4 linked regions of the Solanum lycopersicum genome follow. The main gene of each other region encodes a partner of the protein of the gene in region 4 in a complex. Links are inferred from orthologs where the notes say so. Each region holds a gene or a part of one and is shown on either strand. Other genes may lie near its edges. The genes, in order: carbon catabolite repressor protein 4 homolog 3, carbon catabolite repressor protein 4 homolog 6, carbon catabolite repressor protein 4 homolog 5 and carbon catabolite repressor protein 4 homolog 4.

Evidence for each region.
Region 1: carbon catabolite repressor protein 4 homolog 4 (region 4) and carbon catabolite repressor protein 4 homolog 3 share a complex: the UniProt entries of both Arabidopsis thaliana proteins name them as parts of the CCR4-NOT complex. The link is inferred for Solanum lycopersicum from reciprocal best matches to the Arabidopsis thaliana genes AT1G31500 and AT3G18500.
Region 2: carbon catabolite repressor protein 4 homolog 4 (region 4) and carbon catabolite repressor protein 4 homolog 6 share a complex: the UniProt entries of both Arabidopsis thaliana proteins name them as parts of the CCR4-NOT complex. The link is inferred for Solanum lycopersicum from reciprocal best matches to the Arabidopsis thaliana genes AT1G31500 and AT5G11350.
Region 3: carbon catabolite repressor protein 4 homolog 4 (region 4) and carbon catabolite repressor protein 4 homolog 5 share a complex: the UniProt entries of both Arabidopsis thaliana proteins name them as parts of the CCR4-NOT complex. The link is inferred for Solanum lycopersicum from reciprocal best matches to the Arabidopsis thaliana genes AT1G31500 and AT1G73875.

What each region holds. Positions count from the first base shown.
Region 1 is NC_090802.1:65,110,105-65,115,022, reverse strand, and holds the end of carbon catabolite repressor protein 4 homolog 3, read right to left. Parts: intron 4,002-4,918; coding exon 3,909-4,001; intron 3,808-3,908; coding exon 3,775-3,807; intron 3,654-3,774; coding exon 3,538-3,653; intron 2,510-3,537; coding exon 2,398-2,509; intron 2,312-2,397; coding exon 2,226-2,311; intron 2,134-2,225; coding exon 2,049-2,133; intron 1,096-2,048; coding exon 994-1,095; 3' UTR 626-993; downstream 1-625. UniProt on the Arabidopsis thaliana protein: Acts as a catalytic component of the CCR4-NOT core complex, which in the nucleus seems to be a general transcription factor, and in the cytoplasm the major mRNA deadenylase involved in mRNA turnover.
Region 2 is NC_090807.1:57,876,596-57,881,513, forward strand, and holds part of carbon catabolite repressor protein 4 homolog 6, read right to left. Parts: intron 3,828-4,918; coding exon 3,746-3,827; intron 3,649-3,745; coding exon 3,605-3,648; intron 3,467-3,604; coding exon 3,385-3,466; intron 2,894-3,384; coding exon 2,801-2,893; intron 2,632-2,800; coding exon 2,599-2,631; intron 2,479-2,598; coding exon 2,387-2,478; intron 149-2,386; coding exon 1-148. UniProt on the Arabidopsis thaliana protein: Acts as a catalytic component of the CCR4-NOT core complex, which in the nucleus seems to be a general transcription factor, and in the cytoplasm the major mRNA deadenylase involved in mRNA turnover.
Region 3 is NC_090802.1:64,981,560-64,987,208, reverse strand, and holds the start of carbon catabolite repressor protein 4 homolog 5, read right to left. Parts: upstream 3,194-5,649; 5' UTR 2,953-3,193; coding exon 2,628-2,952; intron 2,480-2,627; coding exon 2,316-2,479; intron 1,979-2,315; coding exon 1,913-1,978; intron 1,818-1,912; coding exon 1,765-1,817; intron 1,684-1,764; coding exon 1,461-1,683; intron 852-1,460; coding exon 805-851; intron 724-804; exon of another isoform or gene 668-723; coding exon 586-667; intron 1-585. Other genes in the region: B3 domain-containing protein At2g32645-like, read right to left, coding at 5,558-5,649. UniProt on the Arabidopsis thaliana protein: Acts as a catalytic component of the CCR4-NOT core complex, which in the nucleus seems to be a general transcription factor, and in the cytoplasm the major mRNA deadenylase involved in mRNA turnover.
Region 4 is NC_090807.1:61,302,664-61,307,581, forward strand, and holds part of carbon catabolite repressor protein 4 homolog 4, read right to left. Parts: exon of another isoform or gene 4,290-4,918; coding exon of another isoform or gene 4,237-4,289; intron 1,662-4,236; coding exon 1,561-1,661; intron 1,470-1,560; coding exon 1,429-1,469; intron 813-1,428; coding exon 763-812; intron 274-762; coding exon 204-273; intron 1-203. UniProt on the Arabidopsis thaliana protein: Acts as a catalytic component of the CCR4-NOT core complex, which in the nucleus seems to be a general transcription factor, and in the cytoplasm the major mRNA deadenylase involved in mRNA turnover.

The sequences.
Region 1 (4,918 bases), on a different chromosome or scaffold from region 4:
TCACATTTTTCAAATACAAAAATTAACCCACATTTTGTAAAAAAAATCCACCATTTTATATCCTCCAACCCTTTATTTAATATGCAAACAAAAGATATTGTTAACATTATTCTCTTATAATGCTTTAAACCATTTTTATTGAATATAACTATTATTCTTACCCACATAAATGTTATTTGTTTACACTAAATATCTCATTTCCATCACATGTCTCTTTGATAATTTTTTTACCAAATGCTATTTTTGTTGGTAGATAAATATTACTCATATTCAATTTTACTTTTTTATTGAACCAAAATTCAATCCATGACTGTTACATAATTTCTTTATCTAGAATTCCTTTGTGACATGTACTATGTGAGTTTTATGAGCAAAATATATTTGGCTTAAAATTTCAACTTTATCTTATATGACTTTCAATTTCATTTCACATGACCAAACGATTTGAGAGGAACAGAATTTTATATGGACAAAGACGTTGGAACTAAATGAAATTTGTTGCCCACCCAGCTAACTAGATGCAAATTGCAAACCCAGGAAGAAGTACTTCTCATCCTGTTAGCCAAGTCTTGATAACATCTCATTAGGAAGAGAAAATTTTGAGATCATAACGTTGCAAACTTGGTTTTGTGAAAATTTTGAGATCATAACGCTGCAAACTTGGTTTTGTGTTGACATTATTACATATATGTTCCTAGTGCAATGCAGAGTTGCAAACAAAAACTTGAGACGATATTAAAGGTACAGATTTGTTCAACGATTACATATTCATATGTCCGAACAATGAGTTCCCATCATCTACGCTACAACAATCATTTGTAGGTAGTATAATTCTAGTCAACAGCGGATAGAACATTGCATTTGCTTAGTAATCACAAACTATACTGTCATGTTTTACTCTCAACTTAATTCATGCAACTCTGTTTGACATATGCAATATCCAGTTTGTTTCCCATGTTGTCTTGAACCTGCATGCCATGATGAGGAGTTTGTTTAACAGATGTCACCTTTAACTGATAGACGGTCTTCAGTTGCTCCAATAACTTCCAAGAATGCAAACTCAGAAACCAAAGCCAAGTGATCACTACCCAATTTCTGCGGTCCAGAAATTCAGATCAAAATTAGCTTTAGAGAAGAACTCAACACACAAAACATCTCAAGGAATATATCAAACGTAATGAGATCTAGGAGTGCTCTTATCCGGCTTACGAAATAAACCTTTACTGGTTCACCACAAAGAAAAGATGTTGTGACAATGGTTCTTGATGGCTGAATCTATCCCAAATGTGCAATCAAGCATTAGGTCATTTACTGAGTTAATATCTCAGATGGTCACTCAACTTCAACTTTCAATAGTTCTTTTAGAAAATCACTCAACTTAGAGTAGTTTACTTGGAAAGTCACTCAACTTTGTGTTATAACTCAAAAATCACTCAATTACAAGTTTTTCATTAAGAAAGTCACTCAACTATGATATTTTACGTAGAAAGTCACTCAACTAATTTAAATGTTTTAAAAATTAAATTTTGCTAAAATACTATTTTTGTTTTAAACTTATTTAAAAATTAATAAGACACTCTTAATTATTTTACTAAATATTTTAAATATATAATCTTTTGAACTATTTTTTTTTAAAAAAAAATAAGATTGCTACAGTTTTTTTTTTTTTGGATTCTTAACTTCTTGATTCCAACCTTTTATAAAAAATAAATAAATAAATAAATAATTAGAGTTGGTCAATAAGATAATTAAAATAGATGTTTTATTTTAATAAAATTTAATGAAAAAAATATTTGAGTCGATTGAGTGACTAAATAAATGAAATATTAATAGTTGAGTGAAATACCAATAGTTAGTGACTTTCTAAGTGAACAATTCTAAGTTGAGTGACTTTCTAAGTGAAGTATCAAAGTTAAGTGACTATATGAGATATATTACCTCCTCATTTACTAGATGTTTTAACAACCTTATTAATGTATTTGCTTCTTTTGCATAATCTAAGACGTTCTTATTAACAACATCAAGTTACTATGTCAGAAGAACAATACCTTGTAGGGAAGACCACCTGTTTTCTTCAAGACATTAATTGGTAAAGTATCTAAAACTTTTGTGGGTGCAAGACCATCAGAATACCTGCATGTGGAAGATTTTACTTTAGTGCTTACTCCCTTCAATCAAGTTAGAAGAAAAATATGAGTAGCAGTTGTAATCAACATCATTAGTACCACAAATAGTCAACAGTTCCCAGAAACTTCGAGTGGAAAGATGTGGCTAATGGTTCACCACTGTTATCCCTTGTTGTTAGAGGTCCCTAAGAAGAAGGAAGAGGTAGCGTCTGCATAAGAGGAATATACAAAGAAATAAACAAAAACTGTAGATAGGAAGGACAAGCCTTACCTTCACCATCGCATAAGAACTATTTAGCTTCAAAGGGTGCATAGCTATGTGGGATTTAAGGGCACCAATCGCAACATTTATCTCCTCATCGCTCCATCGAGAATTAAAAAATCTGAAGTCAATTGCATGCACACAACAGAATTCTTCATCAGAATCATATGATAATACAAATAATTTAGTTTTCTCACAAGTAAACCAATTGATATCAGAAATCTCAAACATAAATGGATCAAGAATCAAACACACATGACAATGTAGGAAGGGCATTAATAGCTGAACCCAAATAAAATCAGCAACAACCAACATAAACAGTTGGAAGAGTTATACGTCTTTTATGATTATTAAATATTTAAGCCTTATGTAAATGGTTAATTTCATATCTCCATTTTTGTTATATTCTATCAATGTGACGAAGTCTTATCCCCATAAACAAACTTGGTGATATAGTGAAGTTGACCAAAACATAGGTAACACGCCCATAATTTTAAGGGTTGGGCTCAAAATAATTTGAATTGGGTTCAATCTCAACCCGTTCAAGCTTAACCCATTTGAAGAGAATTCTCAATTGAGCTCAATTCAATCTCCAATTTCAATCCGTTTTAAAACTTTTTCTTAAGACATGTTCCTATATCGGAGGTATGAATTATTGTCTATTTAACATCTTTTAGGATTTATCTATCCATTTGTTACTTTTTTAAACAAATAATTCTTGAGGGGAAATTCAAATTGTGATTATAAAAGTCAAATATCAATATGTTAAATTATTGAGATCAATCGGGTCAAATTGGGCGGGTCAAGACCCAACCCGTTTTTTTAGCCCATTTGAGCCCAATCCATTTGAGTCCAAAGTAAAATTGGGCTGGTCAAGACCCAGCCCGATTTCTATTCAACCCATTTTAATATTTCCAATTTCAACCAACCCGCCCATTTGACACCCCTACATTATAGAGAAGTTGAAAACTGAGAATGAGGATATAGAGAAGATTGTCATGTTAAAAAACACCACATTGTTTTCTCACAAAAAAAAACTGAAGCAACTTATGACCCCCCTTAGGTTTTATGAACACTCTAGCTATCTGATTTATAGGAGCACATAGACCTTCAAAAGATATAATAAGTACTGGAAGATCCTTGCTTCACCTGTCCATTAAAACAAACAAAATCCCCTTTTCTCTTCTCAGACCAAGAACTTGAGAGGGATGGCATAGTCTCTGACCAGATAACTCTTTTCGGTTATGTAGCATTAGATTGAGCTGCTATATCAAAAACAAAACCTTTGAGAAGCAAACAATTCAACGAAAAAGCATGCTGATCATATTACTTAAGAAGTACTTTAATATTGCATAAAGGATACAAAATTGGGATCTGGCATATTACCTCGGATGATGACAAGAATTTGTAGATTGGACTCTGTCACAAGGGATAAACAAAGAGGCATCGTTTCAGCAAGTAATTTTTAAAAATAGAAGTCAATAACATACTTCGTAAAGATATATTTCAGCTATTCACACCTGGGGAGTACTATTATAATCACCTGCAAGCACAATAGGTACATGGTCCCACTTTTCTGAAAGTATGTGTGCCCTTGATGCAAGAAAACGAATCTGAAAGGAAGAATTTAAGTGATAAGTTACCACATGGTGACAAACTGGAGCAAATAGCAATCCTTGGTACCACACGTCAATCTGCTGACAGTTGGGAATTTAAATAGTTTATGTCTAAAGTTAAGCATGCCATCAGAAGAGGAAAAACACACATTTTGTAGCAAGAACTAGATTTTTCTCACCACAATGTTGCACACTTATTTCACATGGAACATGAACAAAGATTGAGAGATCTCTTTCTATACGGGAGTTTGTTCAGATGTCAAGTGGTATGCTGATGAAACATGATTTGAAGTTCAAGTATAAACAGTTGTCCCTAGTACGACGCATTACTTTCTGCCTCATACACTCCATAAAGGATGTCAAAAACCGTGAAAGAGTTGATGTTTAACAGAAGAAGCAGGAGAAGGAAGATAAAACAAAGTGTTTGAAATGTGTCCCATTTGCATTAATGTCAGGACAGATTAAAGAAAACGATGCAATTGAAAGTAAGGACTAATCTAAACAACAATTGAGCAAGCTGGGAGAAATAAGAACTAAGAATTGGTCGAGCCAACCGGCGTTGCCAATCTAAGGATAAGTATTAAAATAGATCAAGTGTTAAATCATACCTTGTGTATTTCAGATGGAATAGATAAAAGTCATATGTAGTCTTTATGGAATAATTATATTATAGGTCTAAAGTGTATTAGAGAACACAATATTATGTGAGTTGTTACGTATGCACTATGAATTTAATGTTATTGGGCATAAAATTGTCGATATTATTTAAAAAAAATCTTGAAAATAACAATGAAAGAGATAAAGGCTTGCAAGTAATTAGTTCAACAACTTCAATCAAGCTTGAAAAATAACAATACAAGTAACTAATTAGAAATTAGAGGTATAACATCATCTTAGGGGGATTTTTCTCTGAA
Region 2 (4,918 bases), about 3.4 Mb from region 4:
CTGAGATAAGGTACATGCAGAAGATCCAGTTCCTGAATCTTTTTCTCGAGTATCGAATTTCTGTTCAGCTGATGCCATCTTATTGTCTTTTACCTCTCTCTCACTAGCCACTTCAGAGCTTTGAGAAGAGTTAACTGCATCCTGGTGTCTGTTGTATCAAAAGAGAAATCCAGTTTTAGAAACATCAAGGGTGGATCCAGAAAGTAATCAAAAATAGAAAAAATACAAGATCCTTGATAAAAAAATAGAAACCCAATTGCATTTTTGAATAGGCCCGTGCTTCAAGCTCAACATAAATATGTGATCAACAAATCAAAAGAAATGATAGATAGACAACACATAATGATCTTGTATTTTATTATCTTTTCACTGCAATCCCTATAAGCCAAACTCAAATCCTCAGAAATAATGGCCCCACTTTTGGTGAGTTATTTATCAAATAGAAGACAACATGTTAGGATTTTTAGAGAAGGATTGAGTCACAGGACTATGTAAGAAAATCTAAATCAATGGACTTCGACTATCCCTTGCCTTTGTTCGAATTCCTAGATCGACCTATTTTTGTATATAACTTTAGCTCATTGAAGGGAGACTGAAACCTTAGAGTTCAATGGAAGAGAGAACTCCAATCTTTTGCTTTTTACTGAAATATGACATACCAGTTTATTCATCAAAATCCCCTTTAAATAGGAGTCTTATCACATCAATAGGAAGTCTAATTCTTACGATTCCAAATTAGCATAACCTAATCATTATAAAACTATGTAACATAAACCCTATTCTAGAATAATAAATAAAGCTACTAAAATAATAATTAAATACTTAATTTAAGGGCTTCCCACGCATCCAAAACACAACATTAGAAATGATTAGATCAGAGAGAGAAGTAAATGTGAATCTTCCTTCATTTACAGAAAGAACATAAGATCCTTCCTTAATATAAAATATAGAAACTCAAAATACAATTTTTAATAGGTCCGTGCTTAAATCTCAACATGAATATGTGATCAACAAATCCAAAGAAAGGACCGGTGGACAGCCCATAATGATCTTGCATTTTATAATTCTTTTTCACTGCAATCCCTACAAGCCAAATTCAAATCCTCAGAAAAAATGGACACCGCATTTGGTAAGTTACTCCCTCCATCCCACTTTATATGTCATCTTTTTACCTTGCACTTGCATTAAGAGATGATGTAATTTTACCCTTCTTTGGAACTCAAGTTCTCAATCAATGAATATGAATTAATTTATTTTGATTATTTAATTTAATCAATGAACATAAATCATTTACTTAACTTTTCTAAGTTGGTCCAATGTATGTTTTCAATGCTAATAACTCACAAGGGTAAAAAAGGAACAATATGCTAATTTATGCATTGATTTAATGAAATGACAAGTATTATGGACCAACTATTTATAGAAAGAGATGACATATAAAATGGGACGGAGGGAGTATTTAGTAATAGACAAACTAGAAATGATTAGATCAGACAGAGAATGCAAGTAAAGCACATTGAGAATAAAATGACAGAAGGTGCTTGAGATAACTTGATATATTTAGTGAACTTCTGAATGAACCAGCCTATAGGTGTGATGGTACAATGATCCTTTGAGCCTTGAAGACCAAAAGGACAAGGCGAACCAAAATCATATGGAGCTAAATTTTCTAGAATGGCCCACAAACTCTCTAGAACACTACGAAAGCAAAGGATCCACATTAACAAAGGCGAAATGTTCAGTTTGTTTATTCAGTTGGAGCTTTCTCACACATGTTAATGTTTGACTTGTTTTTGGACTTTGTTAGCTCCTAAGCTCTAGAATAGACTTCATGTACTGGCGCTAAAAAATATTTTTTTTTTGTCTTTTCTGTAATGGAGCTGAGAGGTTTACAACTATGATAATATGACATCTCCCTACAATGTTAATCTCTTAGTTTAGCCAAAGAAAAAACAAAGAATCCATATTAGCAATACCAACTATAGGGATTAATCATTAGTTGTTACACTTGCATGAAGTCCAGAGTTTGTCAAAAGTCTTTCTAATTTGATTAAATACCTGTATGCCAGTGTAGCAATAAGAGTGAATTTTAGAACCTCTAGTTTTAAAAAGTCACTGATTTACATCAAAAATACATTATATACAAGTATTGAAATGTACTGGACCTAAATAGAGAAGAATGATATACAGGATGGATTAATATAGTCCACCCCAAATAGCTAGGGATTGGGGCGTAGTTGAGCAATGATATTGAAGTAGAAAACTTGTAGGATTATACATGAGCTGTTTCAAGGAATTCAGAAGAAAAGGTCAAGGAGGAAACAATGTAGTACAAAGTCTCCATGAATTTAACGTAATTTCTTTTAACAAGGTAAGAAGTCGTTACCTAGCACTAGCATTGAAGCTGTGCTTCACTGTATAAATTGTAGCTGATTCCTGTCCTGACACTTTATCCCGAGGCACTTCTGATAAGTCTAGCTGTGGGAAAAAAATATCCAAAATGCATTCCAAAGCACAAAATCATCATATCTTTAGAGAAGGCACAGAAGAAAAGGAGTGGGGGCAGCAACAAGAAAGAAAATATTATCTGAAGCTTACTCTTTCCTCGGCAAGATAGTTGTATAATGGACTCTGGTAAAGGAGAAGAAGAATAAGGAATTATTGCATGGATTCTGGGAAGTGTAAAAAGATGAACAGAACTATTGCACAACATAACATTCTCACATGCAAGTAAGAGTAGAATATATGCACTGATGGAAAAACATGTCATAAGCGCTTCGATGGGAATTATTGAACCCACCTTTGGTGTACTGTTAAAATCTCCACAAATTACAATAGGAGCATTGTCCCAAAGTTTTGAAACACCACCAGCCTTATCCAGAAGCACCCTAACCTGGTTGTCACAAAATTTATTTACACTAAACAGAAGAAGAGTTGAATCCAATCAAGTGGTATCTCCCTTGCATCTAAAAATGCTAAACTAAAGAAGTTGTGTCAATCATGAATTGAAAGCAAACCAAATTTATGAGTAAACAAACGAGACAGATCTGCCAAGTATGCTATACTAAATGAGGGAAGTAGGATGGAAACGGGGCGAGACAGGAGGGGGCACTTTCCTCTAATAAACAGAGGTTGTATTCACTTATCACAGAAACATGATAAATACTAGTTTCTCTTTAAATGCATTTTAGCACACAGGGAAATCAGTAAAGATACATATATGAGCAATGACTACAATCTAGCAGGTTGCTAATGTGTGAAGTAGAGTAAAGTGTGATTGGATAACTACCAAGTAAAGGATATACAAGTACTGGATAGCTGTTTCGAAATAAATTGCACACATTGATGAAAATTGAAAAGACAGTATTAATTGACAATAAGTACCTGTCCGAGCTTAATATCTCCCCTTTTAGGATTGAAAAGCACATGAGTATTACAAATTACAACCTTACTGGAGTGACCAGTGCTGCAAGTGCAATAATTTAGTTGGGGAAAAGGAAAAAAATAAGAAAGCCCTCAACAGATATTTGAATGATAAGGTACAAATCAAACATTCAAGAGTAAGTTGTTATACAGTGCAACTCTCAAAACAAAGAAGACCTACCTTGCTAAGGGAGCTGGTGAACTCTTATTTTGCTGACCAAGAGACTGTTAGCAATAGATGAACACAACATCAGAAAAGCAAGTTTTGAACTTGAAGATACCCACAGTAAAGCGATGAAATATTTAAGAAGAATTTACGCACCTCAAATACACATATCTGGGCAACATTATCCCGAAGCCCAAACTTTTTAAATTCAACAAATTCTTCATGCACCAATTTGAATCTAACATAAAAAATTTAAATTAAATTCAGACAAGATAATATCGTGGACCAGTAGTTAGATGTCATCACACGTACTGCATCTTGCAAAAAATATACGCCAAAAGGTTAAAATTAAGATGATAACACAAATCATTGAATAGTGCATTGAGGATCTGAGAGTAATCAAGCAAAAGTAATTAATATGCCAGAATCGCGGATCTCTAGACATACAGCCAAATTATATTTGCCAAAGGTCTAGAAATGACTACCAGCATGTTTAAATGACCGCGAGCATATCAAGCAAGTTCCAGCTTAGCTATAGTACAGAATTCACACCAATAGAAATGCACATTACCAGAGACACTACAAAAGTGGCAATGATGTAACATAAGACTGGATTCTGTGACACCAATGTTTACATTGAACAGACACATAGTTAAGAATCACTGAAGCTAGTAAGCACATCAAAGTAACTCATTGCTATGCAAATCAGTACAATATATCCAATAGCTTATATACAAGCTTTTCAAACAGCCAAAATCAGTGACTATGTTTTTACCAGAAATGATATATCATATATGGACCAGCAGTTGTCATTAGAAAACAACCATCACTGGCAATGAAGTACGACAAGAGTTTAACATTTGTCCATATAATATTAGGTGTAGAACTGCCAAAAGATACAAATCTGTGGAAACCAGGAAGCCAAAATACTAACAATATAAGAACTATAGGGACAAAATTTTGATATTCGTGGAAGTTCAAACGATGATGATCATAGCATAAGGCAAGTAAAATCTGACAAGTTAATCAAGGAAACAATATGCACTAAAATGTGATTGATTATGTTTGCTAATGCAGAAAGAATAACATTGATCATAGAATGAGGGAAGTAAATGTGATTAGTTTATCAAGGAAACAATACACACTAAAACATGATAGACTGAATGGCTGATTGTGTTTGCCGGTGCAGAAAGAAGTATTATGCTGTTAGCACTCCTCCATAAAGAACACTTTATCAATCCTTAATTCATTTATATATGGGCAACAGAGTGCTATAGGATTGCCAAGGAAGGACGACAAATTTTGAGGACTAACTATTAGAAAAATAGA
Region 3 (5,649 bases), on a different chromosome or scaffold from region 4:
ATTTCAAATGAAGAGTTGATAAGTTTAGAACAACTAATGATCAAGCAAAATAAACAAGGGAAGTGCTATGCAAGCTTTAAGAATCCTAATGGAGACGCTCCTTACAAAAACAAATAGTGAGAGAGAGATGTTATAGGACAGATAAAAATGTCAAAATAAAACTATTGGTCCTAGAACCAAATTCAGTGACAGTCACACCACTAGTCTTTTTTAAGGAGGCAGATGTAAACATGCATCAGCCATCAGGTGAAGCGAAGACGCTTTAGTAAGGATTAAGGAATTTAAAAGTTAAGACCAACCCCCAAGCAGAATTTATCCTGCTTTATTCAAATTAAAGGGAAAAAGCTTCCAAGCATAAAAGAGACGAAATACCATTCAGTACAGCGTGCCTAAACAAAATTATAGTTTTATTTGGAAGGGGGGTTTAAAAGGGGTGGAGGGGGTGGAATATTGGTGCTGGCAGTAATATAAAAAACCAAGTTAACGGAACATTCGTCCAAGTGTTCAGTGACAATACTATTATCCAAAGTACTAGTTGATTCGTCGTAAAACGATCAACCATTAGTTGTTGCTTAAAAGTTATACCTGTCCCAATTTGATGTCTCCACGATTGGGGTTGTAGAGTACATGAATATTGCCAACCAGAAAGCTTGGCGAGGATACACTCCTAACCACAAACATTCGAGCAACCATAACATATTGACCAGAATTGAGAAACTGAAACTAAAACTTACATAAACTAAGTAATCACAGCATCATACAAAACTCAACATTTGAGAATAAAATAAAATAGAGCAGACTTACTCCGAATTTGAAGCACTCACATCCTTGGTTGAACTTTTCACATTCATCTAAAAGTTAATTAAAAGAACTACACATCAAAGTAGACCCCATTTGAACATTAGAGTAAAATAAACTCTTTGCGACCATCTTGTAGTGTGCAGGGGAAATAAGAACAGGCTTGCATGATAGTCTAAGAAATTTCATGCAACATCAATGTCCAGAACAGAGATGATGAAATGATATATCCTGTCATGTCATAATATGTGCAGCATGTGTAGAGTGCATTCATGTAATGACATCACACCGTTATTCTGAGATTAGTAGCCTATTCTTTAAATAAGATTAAAAATGCCTGATAAAATGAAGCTTAGCATGCAGTTGTCTCAAACAGAGAGTAAATCCAGAAAAAGGCATGTAGTCACTGCAGCAAGCTGATTTGTTTGATCAGCTGATTCTGCTAAGTACAAACTACCAAAAGTAACATTGTTTAGTAACTTATCAAAATAATCAGCACACTGGAAGTGCCAAAGAAAGATATCAAACAAATTAAAAGAGACCAAAGCCTCCAATAAATAAGGCACATCATCACTACACTGGGCAATATTATCCCTAGTGCAAAACCCACCCACCCCCCAAAAAAAAAAAGAAACTAATAATGAAATGCATGGCAGATTTACCTTAAAAACACAAAGTTGGCAAACATTATTGCGTAGATTAAAATTCTGGAATTCTATGCTCTCCTCATGCAGAATGTCAAATCTGTAACCAGATATATTTGTAAATTGGAAGTAGCATAAATTAGATAAGAAAGAAATGGAAACAATTAGCAGCAGACAGTTTTCAATCTCCGTAGACGTAGCCAAAAATGACGAGCAAAAACTGCAGCTTTTGCCAGCAGGTCTTCATTTCCCATAAAAAGAACCTAGCTTAGTAAGCAGCAACAAAATCCAAGAGAAATTAAGAAAGAATCAAAGACCATACAGCTTGTTGTTCCAGAATATTGCACAGCCATCGCTTGCATCACCTGTACGAGCCTGGTAAAGGAAAAAGAAAAACGCCATTTGATTAAAAAATGTGACAAAGAATTCAACATACAGGTCATCCATAGAAAAGTTCCACTACATTAGACCTGATAAACCCCTTTAAAGCCCTCTTTCTGGAGGAGATAATCTAAATCATCAAAACGGTCAACCTCCTGCAGGTTTACAAGAAGAAATAAGTTCCTCTAAAATGGCTGAACATCTACACAATGTGTTCATACAGTAATTCAAACAGTCTCGGCGAGAAAATAGTGAAACAATAATTTCATTTACAATGTTTTTATTTGGATAATCGAGAAATCAGTTGTTTTCAACTTCCAACTCTATGAATAATGCATCCGAACCTCTATCACACTGAACCAAATCATGGGTGTATCTTTTAAGAATAAATATACAGTAGGCTTTCTTAACTTCTTAGCTCTATTTTCCTCTCCTTCCCTTTTATGAAGAATAAATATACAGAAAACTACAAACTTTGAAATTAAAAGTTACCTGGAAACACATTATATCCGGATTATAGTCCCTAATTTCTTTGCATATGAGCTTCTTCCGGTAGTCCCAATCCAAATATTTTGGAGAGACATTGCGGTACAGGTCCTCATGTGCTGCTGCATTTTTTACCCCTAGTATGTTATACGACATAAGAATAACTCTATCTGCAAAATTAAGATGATTATTCAGACACAATAAAGGCGGATACACATATGCCAAATTCAAAAAAAAATACTGTATATGATTGCAGACACATTAAAGACTACAAATAGAAGAACCGATGAAATTTCTTATCAATTGACAATCGGTAACCTTGATTTGGGGAAACGTCGTGAGTAGAGTAAACCCACTTGCGTTTATCATCTGCAATTGCCCTCTTTGCTTTTCCTTTATGCCGTTTTTCTTTGCCCCTACTGTACGAGTATGAGTACGAATTTGCATATGAATGTGTATAAGAAGTAGAAGTATGATTTAGGGTTACGGTTGCAGATTCAGTCTCAGTTTTACGTATTGATACTCTTTGCTTCTTCTTGCTACGGTGTTTACCGATATCATGTTGACGAATTCTACTTTTCATTGCTGAAAATCGAGAAGGCTGTTCCGCCGGTTGATCTCTGCCGTCGCCGGTTCGGCCCATGTTGCCGGGAGATTTGAATTTGGGCGGCGCGTGTTTAACCTTTTACAGGACGAATAGGGATGGAACTAAAAGGACATGAATATTTTCGCATATTAGAAAAAAATTAAAATTCTCCAAGTTATCTGTAAATAATGACAATTAAAAAAAATCCTTTTGGCCAAAGTTTGGTTAGAATAGTATTTTAAGTATTTTTAAGATTAAAAAAATATTATTAATATTTAAATTTAATACAAAATTTTCTATTTATTTATGGCATAACTCGAGAATTAATACCTTTATTTTCAACTGGAATTAAGTCCTTGCTTGGTGTACGGTGTACCTGCTACCTACACCGTTTATCAAATTTTCCCAAATAGTTATTATAATAAATATAATTATTTTATTTAATAATAGTTTACATATTTATGAGCTTTAGCTATAATTTAAGGTGTTATAAGCGATCTCATTTATATAATTCGCGAGTATATTTATATAATTGAGTCATTTTCTTTTGTATTAATATAAATTGATTGATATTAATTGATTTGTGTTTATCTTTGTATAAGTTCGAAATAACAAATTAATACAAACACAAACATTTGAATTTTAAATACTTACAAAAATTATATTATACAAAAATTGTACAAAATTATATTCAAAAATCTACGCGCTTATACAAACTGAAAAAAGCGAGTGACATAATTATCACTAATATATGTAGTGATTAGTTAAATAATACATATTTGCTTAATCGCATAATTTCACTTTATTAGAATATGATTTAAAATAAATGTACATAACTTTTAATTTAAAATTTTTAATAAGGAATTAGCTGGTCTTCTCTATAACTTTACTAGCAATCTTTTTAGGGAAAATTATATATAATAACAAACTAATAACTTAAAATAAATGGAGTAGCTAGTGTTTGATTTAATTGGGCTCCATAACAAGCGTTTGTAAAAAATTGTCAGGCGCCTCTCTCCCAATATCTCGCTCGCCTCCCTCCCCAATCTCTCGCTCGCTTCCTCACTTTTTATACAAATACAAGTGTAATAAAATTGTTTCTAATTATATATAACAGAGAAAATTGTATAAATACATATATTTTTGTTCCTCTCTCTCTCCCCTCTTTCAGATCTCGCTCGCCACTCTCTCAAATCTCGCTCGCCACCCTCACCTTTCTCACTTATACAAACAGAAGCGAAATGTATAAATTGCGTTTTTGTTTGTATAAAGCGTGAGAAAATTGTATATACACATGTAAATACATATATTTTCGTCCTATACACTTATGACTATACAATAAAAATACTCCCCTGCCCTGTTTCTTTTGCCTTTATCTCTTTCTCGTTCTATACAATTTTCAAATTGTATCTAATTTTTCTCTTTCTCGTTTTATACAATTCGATCCAATTGTATATTCCTTGTCAAGCCTCTTTTGCCTTTCTCTCTTTCTCATTTTATACAAATTCAAATTGTATATAATCATTCTATAAACTTATAATAATACAATTCGTTTTATACACTTCGTTTTTATATAGTTTTCTGCCCAAGTGTCTTTCTCTTTCTTGTTTTATACACTTCGTTTTATACAATTTGCTTTAACTGTATATGTATAGCGAATTATACATTTTCTATGTTTGCTATAAGCGCAATTATGCAAACTTTGCTATGACATACTAAATATGATTTTTTTATTTGCTATATGTGAAAGTTATCCATCTTTTTAATTCGAAACCTAATTATTGTCTTGAATTCCTAAATTAACTTATTATTTTTTAATTGTTCTAACGACACCTTTTCGTTATACATAGTTTCTCTTAATATTTTATTATTTGCTTAAATTTAAAGTACAAGTTATTAAAATATGAGTTCTTTTAATGTAAAATATTTGATATGAGTTTTTTTATTGGAAAATATGTGTATAAGTAAATATATACTAGTTAGTCAATATATGTATTTTATGTGAATTACAATTTGTCACTTATTTTTAGCTATAATAAGTGTTCAATTTTTTAATTTTGTATAATTCACATGTTTGTATGATTCAAAATTTGTAATAATATAATTTGGATAACTTTTGTATGATATGATTTTTTTAACTGTGTACACTTTTAATGTTTGTAATTGTATAAATACGTTATTTTGAGTTTATAAAAAAAATTAAATTATATATATGTTCCCGCAAATTATACAATGTAAGACAACTTAAACTGTAACTATAACCCATAAATATATAAACCATAATTAAGTTTATTATATGAATTATTTGCGAAAGTTCCCTTATATTAATATAAGTTGAGGACCTCAATGTTGAAATGTTAAAAGAGATTTAAGAAATACTCTATTATCACACTTCATTGCGCACAAGTAGAAAAAAAAAAGTAAAAAATGAGAAATTACAAATTTATAGATGTTTTAGAATATAAACAATTTTTTTTAAAAAAAGCCAATCAAACGGAAAAAAATAAATGTATTGTTTCTATCTCTCTTTATATAATATAATATAGATATAGATATATACTCCTCTAATGAGCAAGATTTTCTGTGCTATCACTATCGTTTTGCTCTTCACTATTAACTTTTTGTATTGTAACTTCATTATCATCATTTTCTTCGTTTATTGCTAGTTGATCACCTTCGTTTTCTCATCGGGAGAAAGCTTCATAATAACAATAATTAATTCGTCGTCATCCATTCGAACAGCCCAGATTTGAA
Region 4 (4,918 bases):
ACTTTAGGGCCCAACTATTACGGATACGCGTCAGGAAAACCCACTTTCTGGGGTAAAGCATCCCCTGCCAAAGGCAACCTTATTCCCTCCCTCCTCCAGTTAATGATGCCACTTCACCACAACCTTTTGCTGTAGAAGTTGTTATTAGAAGGAAAATGGATGACTGTATATTGCTCAATCTTAAATTATCAAAAAATCCAAACCTGTAAGCAAAGGAAATCGGCCCCAAGGCTCTTGAGAACTGTCAGGATTGCCTGTGAACGAGCTTTCCACCTAACACAACACTTAACAAATGTTGATTCTGAAATTACGAGTAAAAGAAAGAAATTGAAAACTGTCTCAATGAAGGCTCATTCCACATGGCTTCAAGTCACAATGCTTTGGAAATAAATTTTACAATAGATGCTCTTCAAATACTCGAAGAGAAAAGAAGTAAAATTGACTAAAACACGACTATGTATCTTCTATTAACACTAGCTTAGAGAATTACTAAAATCCAATAAAAGTCATATGCTCCTGACTCCAAGTCTTGAAGCATTTCTCCAACAGTCTTGAAGGCAAGGAATATAATACTAATGTAATGCAACATGAAACAATCATATTAGAATTCCATAAAGGCCTTAGGCATTATAAACAAGTTAATTTGGGTCCACTCAAACATGTAATCAAATCGCATTGGACTTTCCAAAGAGAAGAGAAACAATATCCGACAGGCTCTGTATAAGAAATGCAAAAATGAAAACTTGGATATAGATGACGTACTTGAGACAAGGCCTTGGGGAGTGTGAAAACAGATCACCCTTAACATATGCCTACAATAAAAAATCTCAGAACAACGAAATATCAGCAAACAGAATCCATACAGCTCAATAGATTAAATGGCTTGAATCAGTAACAAGAAAAACTAGAACTGACTAACATCTCAGAATACAAGTCTCAAGGTATGAGATAACATCACTTGAATTGTGCACTATAGTCCTAAAAGACAAATCAAAGGACATACCAAGCATGTTAGTAGTACACTTGACTAATTAACAGCAAATGTGTGCATCAATAATGGCTTTCCTATCCAGATATGTATGCTCTACTTAACACGGTGGTTCAACCACAGGCGAGCAGAGGGAGGCCTCGAATTCTTTTTGTTAGGATCAGATTTCTCACTCTCTTCTGACTTTCATTTGTTTGTTTGTCCAAGATGTGACATGTTCACAAAGTTTACAAGAGTACTTTGGCTGATGAATAAATACATTTTTTATTTGATTTTCAAAGTCAAGATAGACAATTTACAGTGTATTAGCCATATAAGGATGCTCAATAGTTTAGGAAAGCAGCACTTAACTTCCTTTACTGAAGTATTACTTGCATATACTTCATAAAAATAATAAAATAAATGAATTGCGTCAAGAAATTTGAACATGGTCGGATTACCTGAGCCAAAATGTTATATGATACCAAACTGAACTTAAAACCTGCAACGATTGATAAAAAGTAAAACATTAACTCCAGCTGTACAACAAAAGCATACAAAAACGAAAAAGAAAAGTTAAATAATCCACTTACCATCTGATTTGCTTACTGAAGTAATTCCACTCTTTTCAGCAGGAACAAATTTTGGTGACAGAGGTGCAGGTGTTGTGCTCATTTTGGCGAAATGAATTGTTCTGTAGATATTGTAAACCAAGAAAAGAAGAAGCAAATGAAGTCTCCAATCAAAAGATAAAAGGAGATAATAGATAAGAAGCCCCTAGTATTGGCTCCATTTACAACTTACACAAACTATGGGTGTTTGTATAAACCCCCTGAACTTCCTTTTTCAGTATCTATTACCACCCTCAAGTACCTGGTGATATAAAGAGAGGTGTGTTGTCGACACCTATGCGATGCACGGAGTAAGGAAAAGGTGAAAAACAGTTTATGGTGGCTTCTATATTTATCAACCAAAAAAATTTTGGTAGGGCGGTGCATTATTCAGGATTGGAGCGGGAAGTCGATTAGTAAGGTAGACAACATAAAGATAGGCAAAAGACCAAAATTCAGGTGGTAAGGATGCTCCCATGAAGAACTGGTTTTATTGGTTTCATGAATATGACGATGCCTACGTTCAGCTATGGCAACACGTTGTCCTGCGTAGGAGGTGAAATTAAGGATTCAAATCCATGTTTATCTCAAGATAGGGCTGAAGACCGATGATCTCACCCCCTCCGACGGTACAAAGTGAAGAAATTTTCAACTAAAGGATGAAACTTTAGATTATTGACACAACCTCACTTTCATTTGTAAGTGTATACAACCAAGTATATTTGGTGTATTGGTCAATAGAGTACGTGAGTGCTTCCCGACACAAGTAAAAACAAAGAATTAAATAGATGTGAGGTTATATTGACAAAACTTAATTACAAAAATGAGATTTTTTTCATTGATGGAGCACAAAATGTGTCAAAAAGCTTAGAAGTAGTTTTAGATGCCTAATTAGAGTTGAATAAGTATGAGCAATAGGAATAGTTTTACTGTCACCCATGGAGATTTCTTCAGTTATTGCATACTTTACAAGGTTGTGGGGTACAATAGCGACATGGTTAGGTGAGCAATAGGAATGGCAATGCTCACCAGGCATGCTATGGGAGTTAGCACCCGAAAAGAGAATTCAGTTGGGCCAAGTGATGTGGGGTCCGAAATGAAGAGTGTCATCAAGATTTTGAAAATGAGGCTCATATAGTGAATAACAAAGTAGGGGGGTCCCGCCCTAACTACCATGGATCCAATCAAGGTCATGGAATTTTAGTATTTGGATTACTGTTGGTATCGATCTTAACCCAAGCCTCAAGGCAAGGTTCAAGAAATCAAGGACCAAGGAGCCCAGAACAAAGGTTACAATCATCGAAGCCTATACACCTATGCTCCTCCAAGAGGTAGCCCATTGTCCACTAGTGACTCCACAAGACACTTTCAAGAGTGTTGAGTCTACTGACACAAATGTGAAAAGGTTAAAATGGCTTATAAAACATTGGGTGGTCAACTCCCACTCAACTTCGATTAACCAATTTCAGTCTTAACTTAGCCAAATATCTTCTTCGCTCAATCAAAGAAAAGGGTCCCCTTCCTAGTGATACAGTGAAATAGAATGATAATGGAAATGGTGCCCATTGTATGGTCATTACTATACTAAGCGGAAGGGTGCTAGGCGATGAGGTGGTGGAAGTTGACAAAATTATAGTTAATGAAACAAATGTGGTGGAAAGTAACGTGGATCTTGTTGACACCTAATTTTGTTACTCCTTTCTTCTAAATCATTTCATTGAGCTTCTAAATTACTGATAAGTCAAATATTCGATGATCACTACTATTTTTTATTATTACTATTGTTACTGTTGTTATATATTATATGATATTTTTACTATTTGTTAATTATTGTTGTTGTTATCATTTTCACTCTTCTTAAAATTATATGTATTATTGTTATTATAAGTTTCATACCTATTAAATTAATTATAAATATTATACATTTTATATAGTTATTGTCAATGGTTAAGATATATTGCACTAATTATTAAATTAGAAGCTCAAAAAAATCAATTTAAAGAAGAAAAATACCATCAAACAAACTAGTCCAAATCTTGCACCCAATCAAGGGGGTGTTTGGATTAGCTTATTTTTATGTTTGGTTTTTACGCACTTCTTTAGTTTTGGAGGTATTTGAAAAAGTTAAGAAGTGTTTTAAAACATTCATCTCTAGGCCAAAAAAGTTTTGAAATAAATCAAAAGTAGGGTATCCTACTTATGACTTTTAGCTATAGATTTATAAATTGCTTAAACTTATCCAAGCGGGCACTAAATTACTTAACCTAATAAGTTGCAGCCCAATTGCGCCAAAATAAAAAGTTCATGGTTGGCCACAAATAACCCAACAATGTACATTCTAGATTTTTCCTAGCAGACAAATTCCCATATCAACACCCTTCGGGTTGGCCCAGTGGTTTGAGTTCGAGACTTCATGTTTGAGGTCTCAAGTTCAAAACCCTTGCCCTTCTGGGTCCTGGTGTGGATTGCGTCTCCTATATGATTTGCGAGCATTGCATAGGAGCTGGGATTTTATCCTTTGCGCACCCAAAGGGTAGCGACTGCGGGTTTCCCTTGTCATAAAAAAAGTCCCACAACAACCTTCACTAAAATTTCTGAGCAAACAAAACACTTTGATCTAAAAGAAAGTAAATAAGTGACAGAGGAGTCAGCTTTTACCTCCCACAGGGCAGTAACTGGGGCTTCATTGAGGTCTCGAATTCTACACTCATTTTTCAAATAAAGTTGAGCAAAACGGGGAGGAGAACAGAAAATACTTTGAGGGATGATATGTAGATGTAAGAGAATGGTTTCCTTAGGAGTGTCAAAACCTAGCCTTTGATGGAAAAATAAGGTTGTATTTATAGGAAAGAATCTAGGGTTCGCGTTTCATTGGGGTTGGGCTATATAGAGGATTTGGGCCGTTATTCAAGCTAATTTTGGACATATTTTAAGATAGAAAATGGGCTACTCTTGAATTGGTTTTTCCCTTTAGGCTTCTAATTTAATAATTAGCAACATTTATGTATTGAAATCAAAAATAGATAATTCTATAAAAAGTTTAGTAGATAAGAAACTTATAATAAAGTAACGACAATCAATTTTAAAAGAAGATGATAATAAAGTAATAGTAGTAATGTTAATGATTAAAAATGGGGGTTGCTCTGGAGATTTGGATGGTAGGAAAAATCTAGAATGTGGATTGTTGGGTTATTTGTGGCAAGCCATGAGCTTTTTATTTTGGAATCGGCTCCTACTTATTGGGTTGAGTGATTAATTGGGTGCAAGATTTGGACTAGTTTGGTTGATGGTCTTTTCCTTCTTTAAATTGATTTTTTTAGCTACTAATTTGATAATTAGT